Pelodiscus sinensis: one gene and its partner. The protein of the gene in region 1 purifies or fractionates together with the protein of each later gene. This does not show direct contact. Links are inferred from orthologs where the notes say so. Each region holds a gene or a part of one and is shown on either strand. Other genes may lie near its edges.

Evidence for each region.
Region 2: the proteins of JUP (region 1) and DSG2 purify together in Homo sapiens (affinity purification with western blotting; 3 studies listed by BioGRID and IntAct, with this or other methods). This does not show direct contact. The link is inferred for Pelodiscus sinensis from reciprocal best matches to the Homo sapiens genes JUP and DSG2.

What each region holds. Positions count from the first base shown.
Region 1 is NC_134739.1:9,926,084-9,937,022, forward strand, and holds the start of JUP (junction plakoglobin), read left to right. Parts: upstream 1-5,760; 5' UTR 5,761-5,773; coding exon 5,774-5,916; intron 5,917-10,939. UniProt on the Homo sapiens protein: Common junctional plaque protein. The membrane-associated plaques are architectural elements in an important strategic position to influence the arrangement and function of both the cytoskeleton and the cells within the tissue.
Region 2 is NC_134712.1:73,104,006-73,114,295, forward strand, and holds the start of DSG2 (desmoglein-2), read right to left. Parts: upstream 5,064-10,290; 5' UTR 4,923-5,063; coding exon 4,872-4,922; intron 1-4,871.

The sequences.
Region 1 (10,939 bases):
CTACCGAGGGACCGGCTACAAAGGGCAGTGGCAGCTAATTGTGTTATTCAAGTTGTGTGGAACACCCTAACCCCTGGGCAGGAGACGCACATCGGCAGCTGGACAGGCCCCTTATGCTTGTCAGTTCGTTAATCGGCAACAGGGGCTGGGGAGGTGAGACCCTACAGCGCTGATAGGCCGCAACGAAAGGGTGACGGTGTAAGTCACCCGGCCAGGAAGAGCAGCCCCCGAATAACTGACGTGTCCCAGAATCCCATGTGGCGGGAGCAAGGAGGCAGCCATGCTGACGGCCAGGCGCAGCGAAGGATCCGTTTTGATGTGTTGGTCACTTGTCAGTTTCCAGGCCCCCCTCCGCCCCTCCCGCAGCCTCTTTCCAAAGCAGGGGCAGGAGAACTTCACAGCTGGCCTTCCGAGTAGACCCTGCAACTCCGCAGAGATCCGCTTTCCAGCCACGGCTCATTTGTGTGGCTACGGATGGGGCCAGAACATTCTGGATCCGTGCAGGGCTCTACTTTCGAGTCCATTCCTATTGGCGGCAGCAAGGGTGTTCCCACAACTGGGCCCCGGGCGGGTGAGTTCTTTCTGGGTGTTGAAAGGAGATAGGCTCCCTTGTTTCTTTCCTCCCCATTCCCAGACGCCTTTCTGAGGTGCAGAAAAGGCTTCTCAAGTTTTGGCTTTTGCGCTCTGCTTAATTTCATTGGCCCACGTTTTGCCCCAGAAGAACCTGGTCTTGTGCACAGACGCACCGGTGCTAGCCCAGTGCGCAGACCGGCAAAGCTCTATTTGTCCAGGTTACACGTGGCGTCTAGCTTCCGGAGCAGCAACTACACCAGGTTTCAGGGGGTGTATACCCCCCCCTGAATTTCCCCAACACCCCCCTCCCAGTTTTGTGAACTATGGTGCCATACAGCCCACCTTCACCCTCACGGTCTCATCCCTCATCAGCCCTGACACCCCCCCTTGTAAATTCGAACACCCCCCCCCCTTAATTTCAATTCCTGGGGAGGCTACTGCTGTGCAGGGAGGGCAGCCTGCCTCCCGGAGGGATTGGCTAACTGTTAACAGATTGAGTGGCGTTAACAGTAGGGAGGTGAATGACTAGTCGCCTCCCCGCCTTGCTGCCTCTATCAGAAAGAGGCAGCAAGGGGGAGGGGGGAAGAGGTGAGGGTGCTCAGAGTCCCCAGCTGACCCCGGGCTCCATGTGGCACTGCCGCTTTGAAACGCCGTGGGGAGCATGGGGCTAGTGGGGGACTGCCTGAGTCCGTCACTAGCCCCATGCTCCCTGCAGCGCTTTCGCCTTTGAAGTGCAGCAACAGCCCTGGGGCTGTTGCTATGCCTCAAAGGAAAAATCACCCTTAACGACTAACCAAATAGTCGATGCAAATTTGCATCGACTATTTGATTAGCCAAATAATCAAAATTGTACATCCCTAGGTAACAGAATACTGACAGTTTCTGCACTTCGTGTGTGAGTCAATTGGACCTTAGTTTATAATTTGCCTTAAAAATATGTCATTTGTGTAGTGCTGAAGATGATAAAATCACAGCTCTAAAAAGCATTCCCCTTAGGGGCTTAGGGGCTCTAGTTTAATAGCACTGGAGAGGGCCCCATAAATCCTAAGGACAGTCCTGCTGGGCATCCCGCCGGGTGATGGGTTAATGTTGGTCTCTGCTTGTGGGAACTGCTGTTAACTAGGGATGTAAAATTTCAATTATTTGGCTAATCGAATAGTCGATGCGATTTGGCTGTCACACTCCTGGCTTCCAGGAACAAGCTCTTGGGTATGTGAGGACATGAATTTGCTGTCTTGCAACCATCGGCATGCAGCCCTCTGCAGGTGTTTAGCCAGGGCTGCCCTGCCTGTCCAGGGGTTCTTCAGAGTGGCATGCCGGTCCCATTAGCCAAATCTCTAACTAGTTATATATAATGTGTGTATATTCATTTCCAGGACTGGCAAGCAATGAGTAACTCTGTAATCGCGTTTTCTCTATTCTGGCATCTTTCACCTGAAGCTCTCAAAAGATGGATTAATTGGGACATTGGCCTAAGTGCCAATAATAATCAAGACATGACAAAAATACTTTGTGTTTCTAACAATGCTGAGGCTCTCCAAGCACATTCCGGCCGTAAATGAACAAATCCTGCCCTTTCCCCTGGGAGGGGTGTGTCAGGTGGGCACTCTCGCCTGAAGAAGAAGCTGTCCTGGTGAGCAGGTCCAAAGTGACTAGTGATCTCGGGTGTCCAGTTAGTGACAACTGCGCCTGCTTTTCCAAGGTGCCAAGCGATCGTGACTCTAGTGAAGTTCATTGGAGCTGTGCTCTTCCGAAAATCAGAGCACCTGAGAACTGAAGACTCCAAAATCAGAGGCTAAAGAGACTCCTGAACCAGTCAAAGGCATAGTAAGGAGTAAAACTAGACTTAGAACATAAGAATGGTCAGACTGGGCCAGACCAAAGGTACATCCATCCCAGTGTCCGGTCTGCCAACAGTGGCCAATGCCAGGTGCCCCAGAGGGAGTGAACTGAACAGGTACTGATCAAGCCATCTCTCTCCTGCCATCCATCTTCACCCTGTGACAAACAGCAGCTAGGGACACCATTCCTTACCCATACTGGCTAATAGCCATTAATGGACTTAACCTCCATGAATTTATCTAGTTCTCTTTTAAACCCTGTTAGAGTCCTAGCCTTCACAGCCTCCTCAGGCAAGGAGTTCCACAGATGGACTATGCACTGTGTGAAGAAGAACTTCCTTTTATTTGTTTTAAACCTGCTGCCTATTAGTTTCATTTGGTGGACCCTAGTTCTTGTATTACGAGAACAAGTAAATAACTTTTCCTTATTCACTTTCTCCACACCACTCATGATTTTATAGACCTCGATCATATCCCCCTTAGTCTCCTCTTTTCCAAGCTGAAAAGTCCTAATCTCTTTAATCTCTTCTCATATGGGACCCATTCCAAACCCCTACTCATTTTAGTTGCCCTTCTCTGAACCTTTTCTAATGCCAGTATATCTTTTTTGAGATGAGGAGACCACATATGTATGCAGTATTCAAGATGTGGGCATACCATGGATGTATATAAGGGCAATAAGATATTATCCGTCTTATTCTCTATCCCTTTTTTAATGATTCCTAACATCCTGTTTGCTTTTTTGACTGCCACTGCACGCTGCATGGACATCTTCAGAGACCTATGCACGATGACGCCAAGATCTCTTTCCTGATTAGTTGTAGCTAAATTAGCTCCCATCGTATTATATGTATAGTTGGGGTTATTTTTTCCAAAGTGCATTACTTTACATTTAGCCACATTAAATTTAATTTGCCATTTTGTTGCCCAATCACTTAGTTTGGTGAGATCTTTTTGAAGCTCTTCACAGTCTGCTTTGGTCTTAATTACCTTGAGCAGTTTAGTATCGTCTGCAAACTTTGCCACCTCACTGTTTACCCCTTTCTCCAGATCATTTATGAATAAGTTGGATAGGATTGGTCCTAGGACTGACCCTTGGGGAACACCACTAGTTACCCCTTTCCATTCTGAAAATGTACCATTTATTCCTACCCTTTGTTTCCTGTCTTTTAACCAGTTCTCAGTCCTTGAAAGGATCTTCCCTGTTATTCCAATGACAACATAATTTACGTAAGAGCCTTTGGTGAGGGACCTTGTCAAAGGCTTTCTGGAAATCTAAGCACACTATATCTACTGGAACCCCCTTTTCCACATTTGTTGACCCCTTCAAAGAACTCTACCTTCTATTCTTAACCCCCAGCCAGAGATATCTGATTAATGTGCTGCTATTTTGTTGTAATAATAAAAAAATGTGTCATTATGCCACCTTCTTCCCTCTCGGCAGTGCTTAATATGACACCTGTCACCACTATTTTGGCTACAGAGGCTTTCAAGACACACTGTATCTCTGCAAACCTTTCCGAGAGACAAAGAACCCAAGTCCCAAAATATTTCAAATTCAAGATTCTTTATGAATGTTTCAAGCCAGACGCAGGGTTATCGGAGAGCAATTGAGGCAGATGCCTCAGGTACAAGTCCTTGGCAGCTGTAGCAAGCATCTGTTCGTAGTAAAGGCGTATGAGGCTGCTGGGGTTTATTTTTCTGGCCATTTGTCAGCGTCACCTGTGAGCTGGTGGCAGGGTGTTAAACTGTGAGATACTCTTCCTACCAGCTCGCTCCTTTCCCTGTAGGCCAGGCACATGCTCTCCTCATTGCTTTTTAATGGGAAGTCTTTTATCATTTCTGATCAGCGTTTTTGCCGTCCCTGGGACTCTGGAGTAGAAAAGTGACTGTTTCAATTTCGCCTCCTCCGGACTGGTTGCACAGTTGTTCCTGTCTGGGTTTGTGCTGCGCTACAGGGAACACAAGGGAGAAACAAATATTTTTGCAGGAAGTTAGGCGAGAAATGGAATGACACCAGGAGCGTGCGGCTGACAGCGAGAGAGGCAAAGGAGAAGGCTCTTGCATACCATTGGGGAATTGTGTTGGTCCAGAAGGGAAGCCAGTGCTAGATGAAGAGAAGAGAACCCAGAAAACTGTGCAGCGTGGCTGGAGCTAGCGCACCAAGTTGTTGCTGAATAAAGAAGGCTGCACTGAACTGGCTCCAAAGGAGGGGTTTGAGCATGAGGTTGCTGAACATGGTATGGCCCCCTGCGCTCAAACAGTTTAACCATGCACAGCCACCCCAGAGGTAGCCATTGCTGCTGTCCACGGCAAGCGCCTTCTCCAGGTCCGAACTTAGGCACAGCCTGTGTCTCTCCATCACCATCCCGCAGTGCTCAGAGGCACGTGACCAACATGGCTCCTAAGAACAGGGCCTCACTGGAGAGTGGGGTGCTATGGGAGGGGCCCTTTGCTGAGAGTGGCACTGCTGTTAGGTGAAGGTAAATGGGGCTGTTGGATGTGTCGGGGGAGTATCTTTGGGGGAGGAGGGACAGGAACAGGGGTAATGGGGGACAAGGTGGTAGCTCAGTGGTTTGAGCATTGCCCTGCTAAATCCAGGATTGTGAGTTCAATCCTCAAAAAGCCCATTTAGGACTTTGGGGTAAAAATTGTCATAGATGGTCTTTGGTCCTGCTGTGAAGGCAGGGGACTGGACTTGATGGCCTTTCAAGGTCCCTTCCAGTTCTAAGAGATAGGCAATCTCCATTAAATTTATTTAGTGGGGAATAGGACTGCTTTGGGGGGGGGGGGGGAGCTGCATGAAGGTGCACAGGAATGTGCGGCAAAGAGCTCTTAGAGGGCTGATCAGCTTCCAGCCCTGATTTTCCCCTGCCAGGCTCCCTCACCCCCACCCCCATCTGTCCCCAATTCTCCCTCTGCCCCCCTATTCCCCCAGACTTTCCCCTGCCCCAAACTCACCCCCCAGGTTTGCCCCTACCCCCCAGACTCCCCTTGCCCCGCAGCTCTCGCCCAGGCTCGCCCTTTCCCCTCCCCCAGCTCCCTGTCCTTTCGCAGGCTCCTCCCTCCTAGCCCGAAGCCCCGCCCCCACCTGCATGACCTCATCCAGGTGAGCGTCTCCCGTCCCACCTGGCCTAGGGACACGCCCTCCCCCGCCCACTGGCCCTTCCCCGCCGTGACCGCCACCCCCGTCGTCCAATCGCGTCCCAGCTCCCCGACCAAGCGCCAATCCGCTTCCGGCCCGCGGGCCCGTCCGCCCTGCGCTTTGTGGGCGGCCAATCGGGAGGCGCTCCATCGCGCCAGGTGGCGGCGCAGCCCCCGCCCGCGACGGCGTGACTGAAGGGCGAGCGGGCCAATGAATGGGCGGCCACGAGCGGGCGGGGCCTGTGTCCTTGGGGACCGCGGGGGCGGGGCTGGGTTGCGGGCTGCGCTCGCCTTTTGTTTGGTGGGTGCGAGCCGGGCAGCCGCCAGTGTCGGGGCAGAGCGGTGCGGCGCAGCGCAGGTGAGGGTCGGCCCGCGGGCTCCCCCGAGAGTGCGTGCGCGCGCAAAGGGGGAGAGCTGAGTGTGCGTGCGTGTGCAAAGGGGGGGCCTGAGTGTGCAATCGGGGCGGCTGAGTCTGCTCGCGTGTGCAAGGGGGAGAGCTGAGTGTGCGCGTGTGCAAGGGGGAGAGCTGAGTGTGCGCGTGTGCGTGTGCAAAGGGGGAGAGCTGTGTGCGCGTGTGCGTGTGCAATGGGGGCGGCTGAGTCTGCTCGCGTGTGCAAAGGGGGAGAGCTGAGTGTGCGCGTGTGCAAAGGGGAGAGCTGAGTGTGCGCGTGTGCGTGTGCAAAGGGGGAGAGCTGAGTGCTCTCGTGTGCAAAGGGGGAGAGCTGAGTGCTCTCGTGTGCAAAGGGGGAGAGCTGTGCTCTCGTGTGCAAAGGGGGTGGGTGAGTGTGCAAAGCGGGGCGGCTGAGTGTGCGCGCGTGTGCAAAGGGAGGGCTGAACGTGTGCGTGTGTTAAGGGGGGGCACTGAGGCGGCGCTTCACCCGGGCTCGCGTCTGCCCGGCTAGGAGCTGGTGCGTGTCCGCTCCGCGGGCCGCCGGCTGCTCCGAGCCAACGCCCTGGCCCTGGGAACCGAGCTGTCCGGGCCGGGTGGGGCCTTCTCTGGCTCCTCGGGAGCTCCGGGCTGGGGCGGGGCTCAGCGGGGTGTTGGCGAGCTTGAGGGGCTCCGGGCTGGGGCGCAGCGGGGTTCTGGCGAGCTTGGGGGCAGGCGGCGTCCCGGCGAACTTCGGGGAGGGGGGGGTCCGGGCGAACTTGGGGAGGGGGCGGTCTCGGCGAGCTTGGAAAGCCCGGCCGCTTGCGGTGGGATTAGCGAAGTGCTGCTGGGGGGCTGTGCTGGTTTGGGGGAATCTGGCGCAAGCGAAGCCAGGACGCGTCCAGGCGCCCGGTAAAGTTCGTGCCGGTGGGAAATTGGGGGCGGTTCAGACTCGCACATGTTTGTGTCCCGCGTTGTCCGCGCCAGCCAGGTGCTGTGTCGTGTCCCTCCCCCCCCCCCTCCGTGTGGCCCTTCTAGGGAACCCTGCCTTGCCAAAACAGGAGTGTCACCAGTAACCTCATCACCCTGCACTGAACACACGCTGAGGTCGCTATTAATCAAAGCAGTTAATGGCTGACGGCAAACCACTTGTAGGCAGCCTGTTACATAGTTCCAGAGATCGGTATTAAATTAGCCGTCTAATTTGCAAGTGCCTGGAGTCTCTGTTGGAGCAGAAGGCTTGCGGGGTGGCTGCTGAACCTCTCTCGTGAGACGCTGTTTCGCGCAAGAGAAATTGGATCCTGCTGGAATCTGGAGAATGAGACAGGAGCCTGTTGTTTGCATCCTGCAACTGCTCCAGAAAGCTGGACTGTGCATTAAAACCGAAAGGGAAGTGGTGTAAACTGGAGGCGTCTTGCGTTTTCAAACCTAATTAGCTGTCTTTTCATTCAGGCAGTGCAACTTGATGGACTCCTGGATGACAAATTACAAAAACTGCTGAGGGGTGCGTGCTGCAAATCTATTTCAGCTGGTCCTTGAAATGGTTCCTTTTTTAAAGCTCACAATGGGCGTTTCCTGTTCTCTTGCTGGATTCCTGGGGAGCAAGTTTGCAAATTGTCTCCTTGACTGGGTTTTCCAGGAGAGTGCCATTGCTGTTTCTGTAACTGTTGTGATAGGAAGGGTGTCATTCTGGCTCGGCTCTCGCCATGCGAGCTTAAGATGGCAATCTCTTACTGAGGCATGAGCCACAGGCATTTAAGAAATCCTTCCTCTGTGTAATTGATTGTGCAGTGAATCAACATACAATCAGCTTTCAGGGTGTATTTGCGCGTTTGACATATTAGTTTTCTGAGGTCTCCTGTCCATGTATTATAAAATGCTCCCGACCTGCTTTCTTAGCTTGCATGCGGTGACTGACTGAAGTGTATGTTCTTGCAAAGCACGATCACACATCGGGCTCCCAGCACTTTGCAATGGTTGGAAGCAGGGCTGGATTACCCAGTAGGCAGACTAAGCCCGTGCTTAGGGGCACCAAAAAAAAGAGATTTTTACGGTATAGTATTGTTTTTATTTTGAAAAAGTGGCGAGGAGTCCTGTGGCCGCTTTTGCAGATTCAGACTAACACAGCTCCCCCTCTGATACTTTTTATTTTGAATTACATATGGGGAGGGCATCATAATCTTTTCAGTGTTTAGGGCCTCTAAGGGTCTTAATCTGGCCCTGGTTGGAAGGAAGATGCTGTTACAAGCTAAGTGTAGACTCTTTGTAGGGAAATTGCCTGATAGGAGTCCCCAGCAGTAGCCCTAGAGACTTGCCTTGTATCTAGATTGCCAATTGCCTGACAAACAGTTGTGATTTGCAATGTAAGCTTGGCCTCTACTTGAAAACTATATTGGCATATGGATGTGGGATGGGACTTGGAAAAAACCACGCCCCAGCAGAGATGTAGCCATGTTGATGAAATAGTTCTGGGAGGTGGTGTTTCTTCACTGGAAGAAAAAAATACAGCAAGCAGGTGATGTCTCCTACCAAATTCACTGTCCATTTTGAAAACAAGTAGTCCTGTAGCACCTTAGACTAACAAAATAAAAAGCATGAGCTTGCTTTCGTGGGCAAAACCCGCTTCCTCAGATGAACAGAGACTGTCTATTTTGGTCAGTTTCGCAGTCATAGCATTTGTGAAATCCACAGCATCAGATACTTAAATTTTTAGATTTCATCGGGTTGTCACAAAGCATAAACATGTAAAGCCCTTCAGACAGCATTTCTCAAACGGGGGGGTCCCAATCCAAAAGGAGGTCACAAAGCTATGATGGGAGAGGATTGCATATTGTCACCCTTATTTCTGCTCTTATCTGTAGAGCCAGGTGGTCAGACCATGGCAGCTTCTGGCTGAAAACCCAGTTTTGAAGGCAGTGCCACTGCAGTATTATCACAGAAGTAAGGATTGCAATACAGTGCCCTCTCTACAACAGCCACACTTTGCAGGGGAGATCATGGTCTGGATGGAACACTTTTTTCACAGCCGTGAATTTGGTAGGGCCCTGTTTATAAGAGCTTGAGCCTGTTTGTTATGCTCTGCCGTGTGTTGGAGTAAAGTCAATTTAGAGCCGAAAATCTTGTGTTCTCATCTTGCTATCAGGAACGGTCTGTAAGTGAGGGGGAGTTAGTATTTCAGTGTGTGGAAGTAGGGAGGACTCCGAGGCTATGTCTATACTGCTGATTTTTTGGCAGAAGATATGCAAATCGCAGCTCTCCTTTGCATATCCTCTGCCGCTCCTTTTTGTGGGAGAGGTTTTTCCACCAAAAAGCGCTGTGTAGATGGAGCCATTTGTCGGGGGAAAAAAACCCCTTTTTCGCAAGATCCCTTATTCCTCAAAAAATGAGGTTTACAGGATCTTGAGGAAAAAGGGGTTTATTCTGAGAAATGATCCTGTCTACATGGGGCTTTTTAGTGGCAAAATCTCTTCTGCAAAAAGGATCCAAAGAAGATATGCAAATGAGCATGGTTTGCATATCTTCTGCAGGGGGGGAAAAAGGCAATGTAGACAACCTGAGAGTGAGGGTAAGGAGGGAAGGAATCTATTCAAATCTTGTAGCTAAAAACTAAAAAGAGTCTGCGAAAGGAAGGAATCTGTGCAGTGAAATTAGAAGCCTGTTCAGTCTGCCATGCTGCCGTGCTTTAGGGAACTTGTAGAGGAGAGGTTGTCTGGCTGGTATTCGCTTAATTAATTAGGTTTACAACAAAGATGAAAGGACAATGCCAAAATGTTGCTGGGAGTTGCCTGGGAAAAAATGCTCTTGTATAAGGAACCTGAAAAGAGAATCGGAGTTAAAAAAATGGATGCCATAAAATCAGTACGAACATGTATGCGTGAACGCCCTGATGTTCTTTGTACTCATTAGGGAGGGTGCATGTTTAATTATATGGCGAATGCAATGAGAGCTGGGTGCAAGGGAGTCCAGGCAGTGTGCTTGGTGCTGCCGTAACTGCACAAAAGGCACCTGAACATGCGTTTTCGAAGTTGGAGGGCTTCTCCACTCTTGAAATGCTGCAATTGCATTTTGTGGCTCCTCTGCGTGCTGATTCATTACAGCGACAGGAGGGGTTCTCCGATACAGACAGTTTATTTACCTCCCCCGAAGTTGGAAGGGTTCTTCCCAGGACTAGAACCCTCTATGTGAGGAGACGGCCTGGTTTACCTGCATTTCTTAGGGGGGTGGATTTGAGAATCCGAGAGAGCGAGCTGAGCTGACTTCACTTTTGCAGGCAGACCTGGTCTCGGATGCTTCTGTTGGTGTGAAGTAGCTAAACACAAAGCAGCTGGTCTTTGGGCTTTCTATCCTGGACCGATATCTGCCCCAGTGTGGAAAATTGAACCTAGCACGTGGTGTGGATAAAGGTGGCTGGTGGGAATTTTGAAGTCGGTGTGATGCTGTATCTTCGATTTAAACCCTCTATTCTCACTTAAGAGTGAATATTGTAGCAAAGCCTGCTTAGATCTGACCTGCAGAAGATACGAGTGGTGCGTGCAAGATGAGACAAATTGTGCTTGTGGCTTTCTCGGGTAGAAATGAAAAGTTTGGGAACGGCAAAAGACACACACAAACACCTTTGGCCATAATACCAAACGCTCTGAAATTGCCTGGCGTTCTGCAGAGTATTTAAAGATGCCCTTTTCTTCCAGGCCAAAAAATAGTCTCAGAACAGAAACTTCCCGTCCTGAAAATGTGCTATTTATTCCCAGGATCTGTGTCCACGTTCTGAATTCTCAGGGAGGGTGTTCCTTGCGGGTGTATTCCCATCCGACTGGATGGCAGGACTGAGCATTTGAAAGAGGAGGCATTTAGGTGTGTTCAGTAGCTTGGGGTGTGTCTTGGGAACCTTCTGCAATGAGTCATGCTGCTCTGTGCCTGAAGGGCAGGGCCCACTTTGAGCTTCTCTACTAACATGCTGGGGGTGATGTCAGCGTGGGCTCTGAGCTCGTGGGTCAGGTGTTGGTGCGCTCCGGGG
Region 2 (10,290 bases), on another chromosome or scaffold:
GCAAGAGGTACCCTTACACTGGTGTGAACACAGACTAACTCCAACAAATTCACTTGAGTGGACACGCCAATGTACTTAACTGTTGTAGAGTTACTCCCCATTCACACTGATTATTCTGAGATCAGAATCTAGCCCCAACTGTCAACATACAAAAGGCCCCCTAGGCCCAGACCTTTATTGGGGCTGAGATGATGCAGAACAAGTTTTATGCTGTATAAAGGGCATATTTTCTCTGCTTTATTTCTTATGTGCAGTTTGCAAACTCTTCTCCCTGTTACGTGGCTAGCATGCTCTGACAACCAGCATATGAAGCCTTGGCTCTACTTGTACTCCACTTCTTCCCATCCTTTGGAACACTGCATAGCCAGGGAAATAGAATCATAGAAATAAAGGGCTAAAAGGGACATCAACAGGTCATCTCCATTAATGTTCCCTCTAATCTTTGCCATCCATGTGCAGAATAATTTTATGTGCACAAAGACATGTGCAAATGTACACCACCAGTAGGAAAAAACTTAACTGTAGGGGCTCTGTTCATCAGCTGGGCAATATTTGAATCTCTCCCGAGTGGCTGCATAAACACACAGCTTACAGGTATCACTGATCTCCACCTCCTCCCCCTTGCTGAGGGACTTAAATAACATGAACATCCCTGATGGCATGATCCTCCATCCAGCTCCACAAAAGATGCCCAAGCAGTTAATATAGCTCCAGTCCCTTATAATACCCAAATTTTGAAATCTTTATGTGGGGCCAAATTTTACTGTTGTTTACACTCTATTGACCTACATGGGGCATACAGTACTGTATTAAATGTCTGCAGATCTGCCTGTGGTCTTTAGCAGCCACTATACCAAAGAGACAGTCCAGTGGAGCCAAGAAATGAGGTGGGCAGGCTGTCAGGGACGGCAGTCCTAGCCTCCCACGTGTCACTCTACAAGTGGGGAAAATTTGGGAAAATCCATATAAAAAGCTTCACAGGGCCTGATAGATTTGGGGGGGGGGGGGGGGGCGGGGGGGGGGGGGGGGGGAGGGAGAGAGGGGAGAACACAGGTCCTAACAGGGTGCTGTGGGAAAAATCACCACTTTTTGCAAATAGTTCCCTCCCATAATTTCCATTACAGAAGGGGACAATTTGGTCAACATGTTTTAATCCCATTACAAGTCAGTGTGACAGGAACTATTATTATTAAGGAGCGACAGCATAAGGCCAAATTTATTTTACAAAATTTTGCCCTGCAAAGTTAAAAAAAAAAAACACAAAACAAGGAAAGAGTACCATACTTTTTTCCTTGCAATGTACGACAAAGGCCTGAAAGTTTGCCCCCCCCAAATATTTTTCATAGTAGAGGATCAGATCTTGTTATCCTGTTTTTCTTTACAAATAAACAAACCAATCCTTCTATGGATACCTGGCAGTCTCCTACAATTATAATATCACATGTATCAAGGAACTGAAACTTGAACAAATATTGTGGGAACGTAATTTAGACATTCCTTAAAGCACTTATTTTTGTTTTTGTTTTGTTTATCCTCACTGACTCAGATAAAAAACAAAGAAATCTTTTCTTTCAACATTTTATTACAGAGTCAACACACCAACCCCTTCAACTAAGAGCCAAGAAAGCTCTCATTTTCATTTTTCCAAAGGTACCCCCAGGAAACGAGGAGAGGAGAGAAGAAAAGGGAATTCCAAATATTTCTGACAGCAAATGAAGAGAAGAGAGGAAAGGAGAGGTTTCCTAAGGTAGAGGAGACACACACACACACACACACACACACACACACACACACACACACACACACACACACACACACACACACACACACACACACACACACACACACACACACACACACGTTTTTAAAACTTTCAATGCCTTCTTTATAAATAATAACTTTTAAAAGGATATTGTAAAATGACTCAGATATCTTCCAATTAATTTACTCAGGTGGACTGTTATGCTTGCAACCAGGTCAGTAGGAGGGGAAAAAAGGAGATTTACACTCAAAGCTAACTGTTGCTTTATTTGCTCAACTAATGACAGATATTGCTTAATACATTAGCTTGATTTTAAAAAGTTTGCTTATAGACTATGGTTCTGCCTAGACTTGAGCTAACTCAATTGAGAAAAGCATATTTTTCCTAGTCTACAGAAGGCCAATGGTCTCTGCATCAGAGCAAGGGGATTCCCATGTGGATCCTCCTGCACAGTCAGGGATACTGGTAAAATTAGTGAAAAATTCAAACCACTTAAAATTTGTAAGTTTCCCACTGTATCTCTTTCAACAGTGTGTAAATCTTTTCCCAACAAACATGAATTTTAAGTTGACTCTGTCCTTACAGTTATCTTAAGAAACTATAAATGGAGAGGGTCAAAAAAGTTTCAGCTACTCAGTTTTCCATTTGAAAATGAGATTTCAGTGGGATCGAAATGCATCATGGCACCGTGTCAATTCCTTCAAAACTTTCAAGAAAAGGCAGGCATGGAGATAGGCTGGCTGCTGATCTAGTATCTCACCTGATAAACCATCCACTAACCAAGCCCATGGGAAGCCTGCAAGCCTAGAAAACAAGATGGCTTTCCTGCCCATCAGTTGGGCAGCTAGTCAGTCCAAAAAGCAAAAAGCCAGCAAGCCTGGGTAGGTGATTTGTGGTGCGCTTGGGGGTGCACCCCTGTGCCCTGCCAAAACTCTTCATTGCTAAATGGGGTATCCCTTCCTTGTTCCTTTAGGTGGCCCTCCCCGGCTATGTCTACACTGTCAGGTTCTAGCGCAAGAACATCATTTTTAAAAATCTGTTTTCAGTGGGTTTCTGGTTTGTTTATAGTCAGAGCTGGTTGAAAAGATAATTCTTGCGCAAGAACACATCCACACGGCCATGTGCTTTTGTGCAAGAGCGTTCATGGCAGTGTGGATGCTGTCTTGCGCAAGAAAACCCTGCCGTGCGTCCACACCGACCTCTTGTGCAAGAGCTCCTGCGCAAGAGGGCCTTACACTTGTTAGAAAAGAGCTTAGCTCTTGCGCAAGAAGCCCTCTTTTATCACGCTTTACTGTAAACATTCTTGCGCAAGAGCGGGTGGGCAGTGTGGACACTCTGCAGAAGAACGGCTGTTCTTGCGCAAGAACCCGCTAGTGTAGACATAGACCCCCTTTGCAGCTCTCATGCCAGCTGGGACACCTATTTTTGGAAAGTTTGATTTTTCATCCCAATTCAGGATTATTCCTCTGCCACAGAGGAAAAAAAGCCATGCAAAAATTTTCATGGGATGGAAATTATCTTTCTAACCAGCTCTGACTATAAACCAGTGTTTCCCAAATGTGGTTCCGTGGAAACCTAAGGGTGTGCCTAGACTGGCAAGATTTTGCGCAAAAGCAGCCGCTGTTGCGCAAAATCTTGCCGCCTGTCTAGACTGGTTGCGAGTATTTGCGCAAGAACACTGACTTTGTACTGTACAAAATCAGTGGTTCTTGTGCAAATACTCCAACGCACCCACTCAGGGATAAGCCCTCTTGTGCAAGTATTCTTGCACAAGAGGGCCAGTGTAGACAGCCATGTTAATTTCTTGTGCAAGAATGGCTAAAATGGCCATCGGAGCTTTCTTGCACAAGAGCGCGTCTACACTGGGCATGGATGCTTTTACGCAAAAGCAAATCTTTTGCGCAAAGGCGCATGCCAGTATAGACACTCTCTTGCGCAAATACTTTTAACGGAAAAACTTTTCCGTTAAAAGTATTTGCGCAAAACCATGCCAGTCTAGACGCAGCCTGGGATTCCGTAAAGTGAAAATAAGGGTTCTGCGAGAAAACTCCTTGACAATAACATTTTATGATTAAAAATAATATTTAAGAACTGACGAATTTTATTGAAAACAATTTTCATTTGTGCCAAGATAAGTGTCCCTGTGTAATGCCAGCTAAGCCAGAGTGGGGATAATGATGTCACTACTCAGAGCTATGCTCACAGTCAGTCAGTGGTGCAATTGCCTGTTATATATCATACTGTTATTAGGTGAAGCAAAATACAGGACTATGTAGCACTTTAAAGACTAACAAGATGGTTTATTAGATGATGAGCTTTCGTGGGCCAGACCCACTTCCTCAGATCAAGTAGTGGAAGAAAATAGTCACAACCATATATACCAAAGGATACAATTTAAAAAAATGAACACACATGAAAAGGACAAATCACATTTCAGAACAGGAGGGGGATGGGGGGGGGGGGGAGGAAGGAAGGTAAGTGTCTGAGGAAACTTGATCTGAGGAAGTGGGTCTGGCCCACGAAAGCTCATCATCTAATAAACCATCTTGTTAGTCTTTAAAGTGCTACATTGTCCTGTATTTTGCTTCAGCTACACCAGCCTAACGCGGCTACATTTCTATTACTGTTATTAGGGGTTCTGCAAAATTCTTTTGAGTTTAAAAGGGTTCGGTGACCAAATAAAATTAAGAAACTGCTATAAACAAACCCGAAACCCACTGAAAACAGCGTTTAAAAAACCTAAGCCAGTAATAATGTTAGGATACGGAATTCATGTTTTCAAAAAGTTTGTGTTCGCCCCACAGCTGAATGCTTCTAGATCGGTGAAAAGAAAAGCAGCGAGCTCAGGGCATGTTCGCTGGGAGCCGAAGCCCGGAGGCAGGGCGAGGTGTGTCTGGGTAGCTGGTGGGCGCGGTCACCCTTCGCAGCAGGGAGACGGAGCAGGCACCCACAAGCCCCTGCCGAGGGAGCTGCCAGAGCGCGACCCCCCAGCTCCCGCACGGGGGCGGCAGGCTGCTCCCAGCCCGCCCCGACCAGCCCCCCTGCAGGCCGCAGGCTCAATCCCCCTCAGCCCCTGCAATCGGCGCTTACCGCCGCCCGCGGGACTCACCGTGAGGAGCAGCAGCGCCTCCAGCCCGCCCGCCGCCGGGCCCCGCGCCATAGCCCAGCCCGCTCCGTGTCCTCAGCAGCAGCCGAGAGTGTCCGCGTCGGGCTCCTTCCGCGGCCGCTCGGCGAGCAATGGGGCCGCCCGGAGGGGCTGGGGAGGAGTGCGCCGCGCGGGGCCGGCCTGACACTGGCACACCTGGGGGAGGGGGCAGGTGAATCCCGCCTTCCTCTGAGGCGGGGGTGCCCCAGCGCTTCCGCCCTGCACAAAGGGGAAGGGCTGCAGGGCGCTGGCGGACCAGCCTCTCGCCCTGGCTGGGGGCTGGACCCTCAGCAGCAGCGCGTCCCCTTCCCGGCGCTGCCATTGCGGGAGCGGAGCCTGGGGGAAGTTCCTCCGACTCCTGCCCAGCTCCGGGCAGACACAAAGGGGGGTAGGAGCTGGGGAGAGAGGAGACGAGCTCCACGCTGCAGGTGTTGGGCACTAACTTTGCAGTCAGGGCCGCGTTATGACTTTCGTGGGCCCCTCCCACCATAATCATATCATTATTAAAAATGATTTTTGCTATAACTTTAAATACTTCAACATTTTTTTTCTGCCTTAGGCCAAATTGAATAGATTTTCGTGGGCCCTAAAAGTTTCATTTTTTTTCTGATGTGAGAACAAAATTAAAACATTTGCTTCCACCCTAAAAGTTCATTTTTTTTTCTTCTGATTGTAAAAAAAATTAAAACATTTTCGTGGACCCTAAAAGTATCGTGGGCCCTAGGCACTGTGCCTAAGGGATAAGTCGGCCATGTTTGCAGTCGCCGCCCAGTCCCTGCAGCTCGCCACAGGCTGCGATCTGAAGGACTGCTATGGTTTGTGCCAGCGCACAAGGGGTGGCTGCATACCTGGAAGGGCCTGCTGGGCCAGCAGATCCCAGCGCACCCCCTCCACTGCCGAGTTCGTGCAAGGGAGCAGCCCTGGCCACTGACCGACTCTGTGCCTTCACCACCAGCTGTGGCTCCATTCCTTCTTACAGGGGCCGCTTACGGGGATCAGGGGTTGTTGATCCTCTAAGTCTGGTGGCTCTTTGAAGTTTCTAAGGTGAGAACTTTTAATTTTTTTTTTAATGTTACAACTATTTTTATCTCAGTTAGGATCCGGGGGAAACGCCATTGTGAGTGCTGAGTTTGAATAATAAAACTGGCGATATTACCTGTTGTGTCTTTTGATCTTTGCTATAAAGTATCTGCTTCTCACAGGACAGGTTTTTGCCCACCCCTTGCAGGGTATTTCCCACATCTGATCAACAGTCATGTTTTTCTTTCTGAGCGGGTTTTGGATGAAGATCTGAGTTTAGAAGGATTTCAAATATAGGGAGCGCTCTTTCCATTTTCCCCTTCTCACCATACAAAAGAACACTACAAGTCATAGCAAGTAGGTGTGCTTTACAAGCTGACAATCCTGTTACAAAGGGGCAGCCTTCATTAATGAGTAACTTACAGGAAAAAACATGGACTCATGGGAAAGTAAAAAGAATTGCTCAAACAAAACCTGCAGTGTTGATACTCCTAATCTGTGTTCCGTGGTCTGAATGCACTTTTTTTTGTATCCATTTCTGATACTGCTCTCTGCTCACCACCTGTTTAACACTGACCAGTCCAGACACTAATTATATGGGGGCAGGCGGGTGTGTGTGTGGGAAATTAAGGTTAGTGTGCATCTTACTTTTACAGGGAATGGAACACCTATATGCTAATAGATGCTGATTAATTAGGGTTGATCAGGTCAGATTCAGCTATGGTAAATCTTTTCACATAATTTCTGAAGCAATCAACTGTAAATATCATGAACAGAATTAGGACCCTTTCAGAGGAGTAGTTAATGGGGAGCCTTTTGTGTTATACATGTAGTATCTCATAGCTATGTGAAACAGCTGCACTTATACACAGTGGTAAACTGAGGACACAGAATATGCATTGTCTCAGAATGTCTTCGCTTTTGTTGATTTAGGATACAGTGATATAGAAGCTTCTCTTGCCTTTTTATGCACATCATATTGTTACTTAGAAAAAAATCAGTGATACTACATGTCCAAGTATAGTGATTACAGTGTTATATTCCTAGTTCAACCACTGAGTAACAGTCTCACTGGTCAATAAACGTAATTTTTGTGTAACGAAGTATAGCTACATGTGAATTGGTGTATTAATGCTTTTGTTCCTCACAAACAGGGTTTGAGGCTTAATACCTAATATAAGTAAAGTGCTGACATCCTATTTTGAAGTTTTGTAATCCCAATAAAATTATTATTATTTTAAAGTGTACAGTGGAGAACAGGACCAAAGCCTTTAATATGATCTGTATACAATATTTTTAATTGGGTGAGCTACACCAAGATTCAAAGATCTGCATGTATTATGACTGACGATTTAAAGAGCTCTAGCATAATTACAATATAAATGAAAGTGTTTCATTATTTCAAGGATCTGTAAGGGAAGTTTGCTCATTTGCTGGATGATGGTGATTTTTATATGTGTGCTCTGTAATGTAGCCAAGTGGAACTTTGATCAAATTGCTAATTATTTGTTAGAGCCATTTGTTAAAAAGTATGTTGATTAGTGAAATAAATTTTTACAACTAAGTTAAAATAAAGCTAAACCTCATTTTGATTTAAAATCAATTAAAAATAATAGGCCCGTGTATATTACTGAGGCCCCAATCCTGCAAACACTTGTAACTAAAATTACATGCTTGCCTATCTCATTGACTTCAATGCAAAAGCATTTGTTGTAGCAGGGCCAAATGCAGGAATAGTGAGATAGCAGGGAGCAGAAGTGTTCCCCCAGAACACAGCCAAAGAAAGATCAACCATTGAGTATGCAGAAGCTCTGCTCTCAGAACATCCCTTTGCTGAATCTGCTCTTGTGATGCTTATAACATTCACATGGGTAGTCAAAGCTTCTGCAAATAATTGCAGTTGCCACTAATGCAGAGCTTCCTGATTTCATATAATGTTTATAGCACTCGTCGACATACTACATGTTTGTATGAATTTGACTGTGCAACAGCTTCTTTTTAAGATGGGGAAATATTATCCCTATTGTATGGAGGTGCCTTGCTGAAGTTGACACAGTACTGGCAGATCCAGGAGCTGACTCCACATTTGTTTCCAGCCTTATTTACCACGTGACCATCCACTCAGTTACATGGATCCATGCTGTAAACTAGCCCTTTCAGCTTTCCTTATTGATCTTTGACACGAGACACTTTCATTTATATTCTAATGATGTGGGGGCTCTTAAACTGTCAATCATAATATATCCAGGGCTTTGAATCTAGTTTTCCTCACCCAGTTAAAACTACAGATACTATTATGGGCTTCAGTCCTGTTCTCCAAAGTATGGCATGCATCATTGGTCACCCTAAAATTATAATTTTCTCTTATATTGCTTCTTTATTCAAGAATCACCAATGTTTTAAACAGATCGCAGCACTTTACTAACATTAGCACTGCAACTGGAAACTACAATTATGGCCCAGGAAATCCATTTATACATGACAAAGGTAAACTATACAAAGATACAGGTGCTTGTACGAGAAAGAACAGAAGGATACAGGTACAAAGTTCAAACATGATGAAAAGCAATGCGGAAATAGGTCCAAACTCTCAGGCTGAGGTTTTGTTTGTTTGTTTGTTTTGGGCATAATATCCTGGTCATTATTGAAAACTACAAATGACCAAGCCCCATTCACAGCCCATGAAAGATTTAGTGTAAGTCTTTCCAATTATAGCAGAATTGCAGGATAACAAACACCAAAATTACAAACACATCAATGAAGCACACACCTTATTTGGAACCAGAAACATTGAATCAGGCAGCAGCTAAGACCAAAAAAACAAAATAAAAAAACCACACACCAAACAAACAAAAAATACTCAACCACCCAAGAACAAACAAACAAACAGTCAAGTACTGTGCTGCTAAAACAAAAACTACTGAAAAGATAAAGGGAAAGTTAAAGATACAAGGTAAGAAAACAATTTAAATAAAACAAGCACAGAAATAAAGATAGTTAAAAGCATGTTTTATCTGTATAGTAATGTTTCAAAGCTACATTAAATCAATGTTCAGTTGTAAACTTTTTAAAAGAATAGCCACAATTTTGTCTGGGATTATGAACATTTCAGAAGTTAAAAGCAACTTCCTTTCCTAAGGTATTCATAACTGAGCTTCTACTGAACTTCAAGGAGCATAAGATCAGGCCCTAAACTGTTATTCTTTTCTAAAAGTTTAAACATCTATATAAATTTCCTCAAAGTTTTAACAAAAACATAATTTCATAAAAATATACATTTGTACTAATTCACAGTATTATTTATTATGAGCATACTTGTGTGCTTCCAGTAGATACATTCTCATATGATCACTCATAAATGCCACTCCCATTTCATGGTGAGTAAAGCTACGCTAACAACTCTAGCTGAAATTCAAATAGGATTCATTTCTTTTTGGTGAAGAAGAGGGCGAGGAGATAAATTAAAATATCCAGCCTTAAGGAACAACCCAGTTCCTTATTAAATTAATGACAAATCTATTGTAATGCCTTTAAAGTGTTGAAACCAAAGACAAACTATCTGGTTTTTTTTCTAGCTTTTGAATTAAACGGAACAGGTACAGTGTTAAACAAGTGCTGCTACAAGAGGAAATTCAGTGTATAGCTGTGATGAAATGCTCTGAGCTCTTTGTGTGTCATATTAAGGTAACTGAGAATGTTTTTCATTGTCTTAAAAATCACACTTCACCCTATTCCACTGTTTTAAAATTCTTACCACACCATTTTTATGACTATTGTCAATAATCTGTCCAAAAATTATTTGCAATTAAAGGGCATTGACCAGATTTCACAGTTGCACAAGAATCCACTTCCAACTACCACTAATTTTAACACCTTTTGTGCTTAAGCAGTCTATCTCTGTGGTTCAAATTCCCCACCTGTAAAATGGGATAATAATACTGATCTCCTTTGAGATCTACTGATGAAAATGTTATCTAAGGTCTATGTATACAATTATCAGTTTTAAGGTGCCTAATTGATACAGAGGATTAGAAGAAAAGCTCTCTTCATATTAAGGGCATGATCCATTAAACAAGTTTAACTTTATAAAGGGAATAACTCCATTCATTACAAAGCTATGCCTGGACTTCAGTGCTTACAAGTCTGGGGCTCATGGGAGAATATTGGAGAAATAGAAAGTATGGACAAGGAAGAATGGTTCACTGTCATTACTTGCTACTACATACATGGTAGTTGGACACATAAATGCTTCTGATTTTTCTATGCTCATAAACAGTATTTGATCCTTTTTATCTCTCTTCTGTTCATCTCTTTTTAATAAATTTAAGATGTTTATTTCTCTTTAAATGACTGGAATGATTTG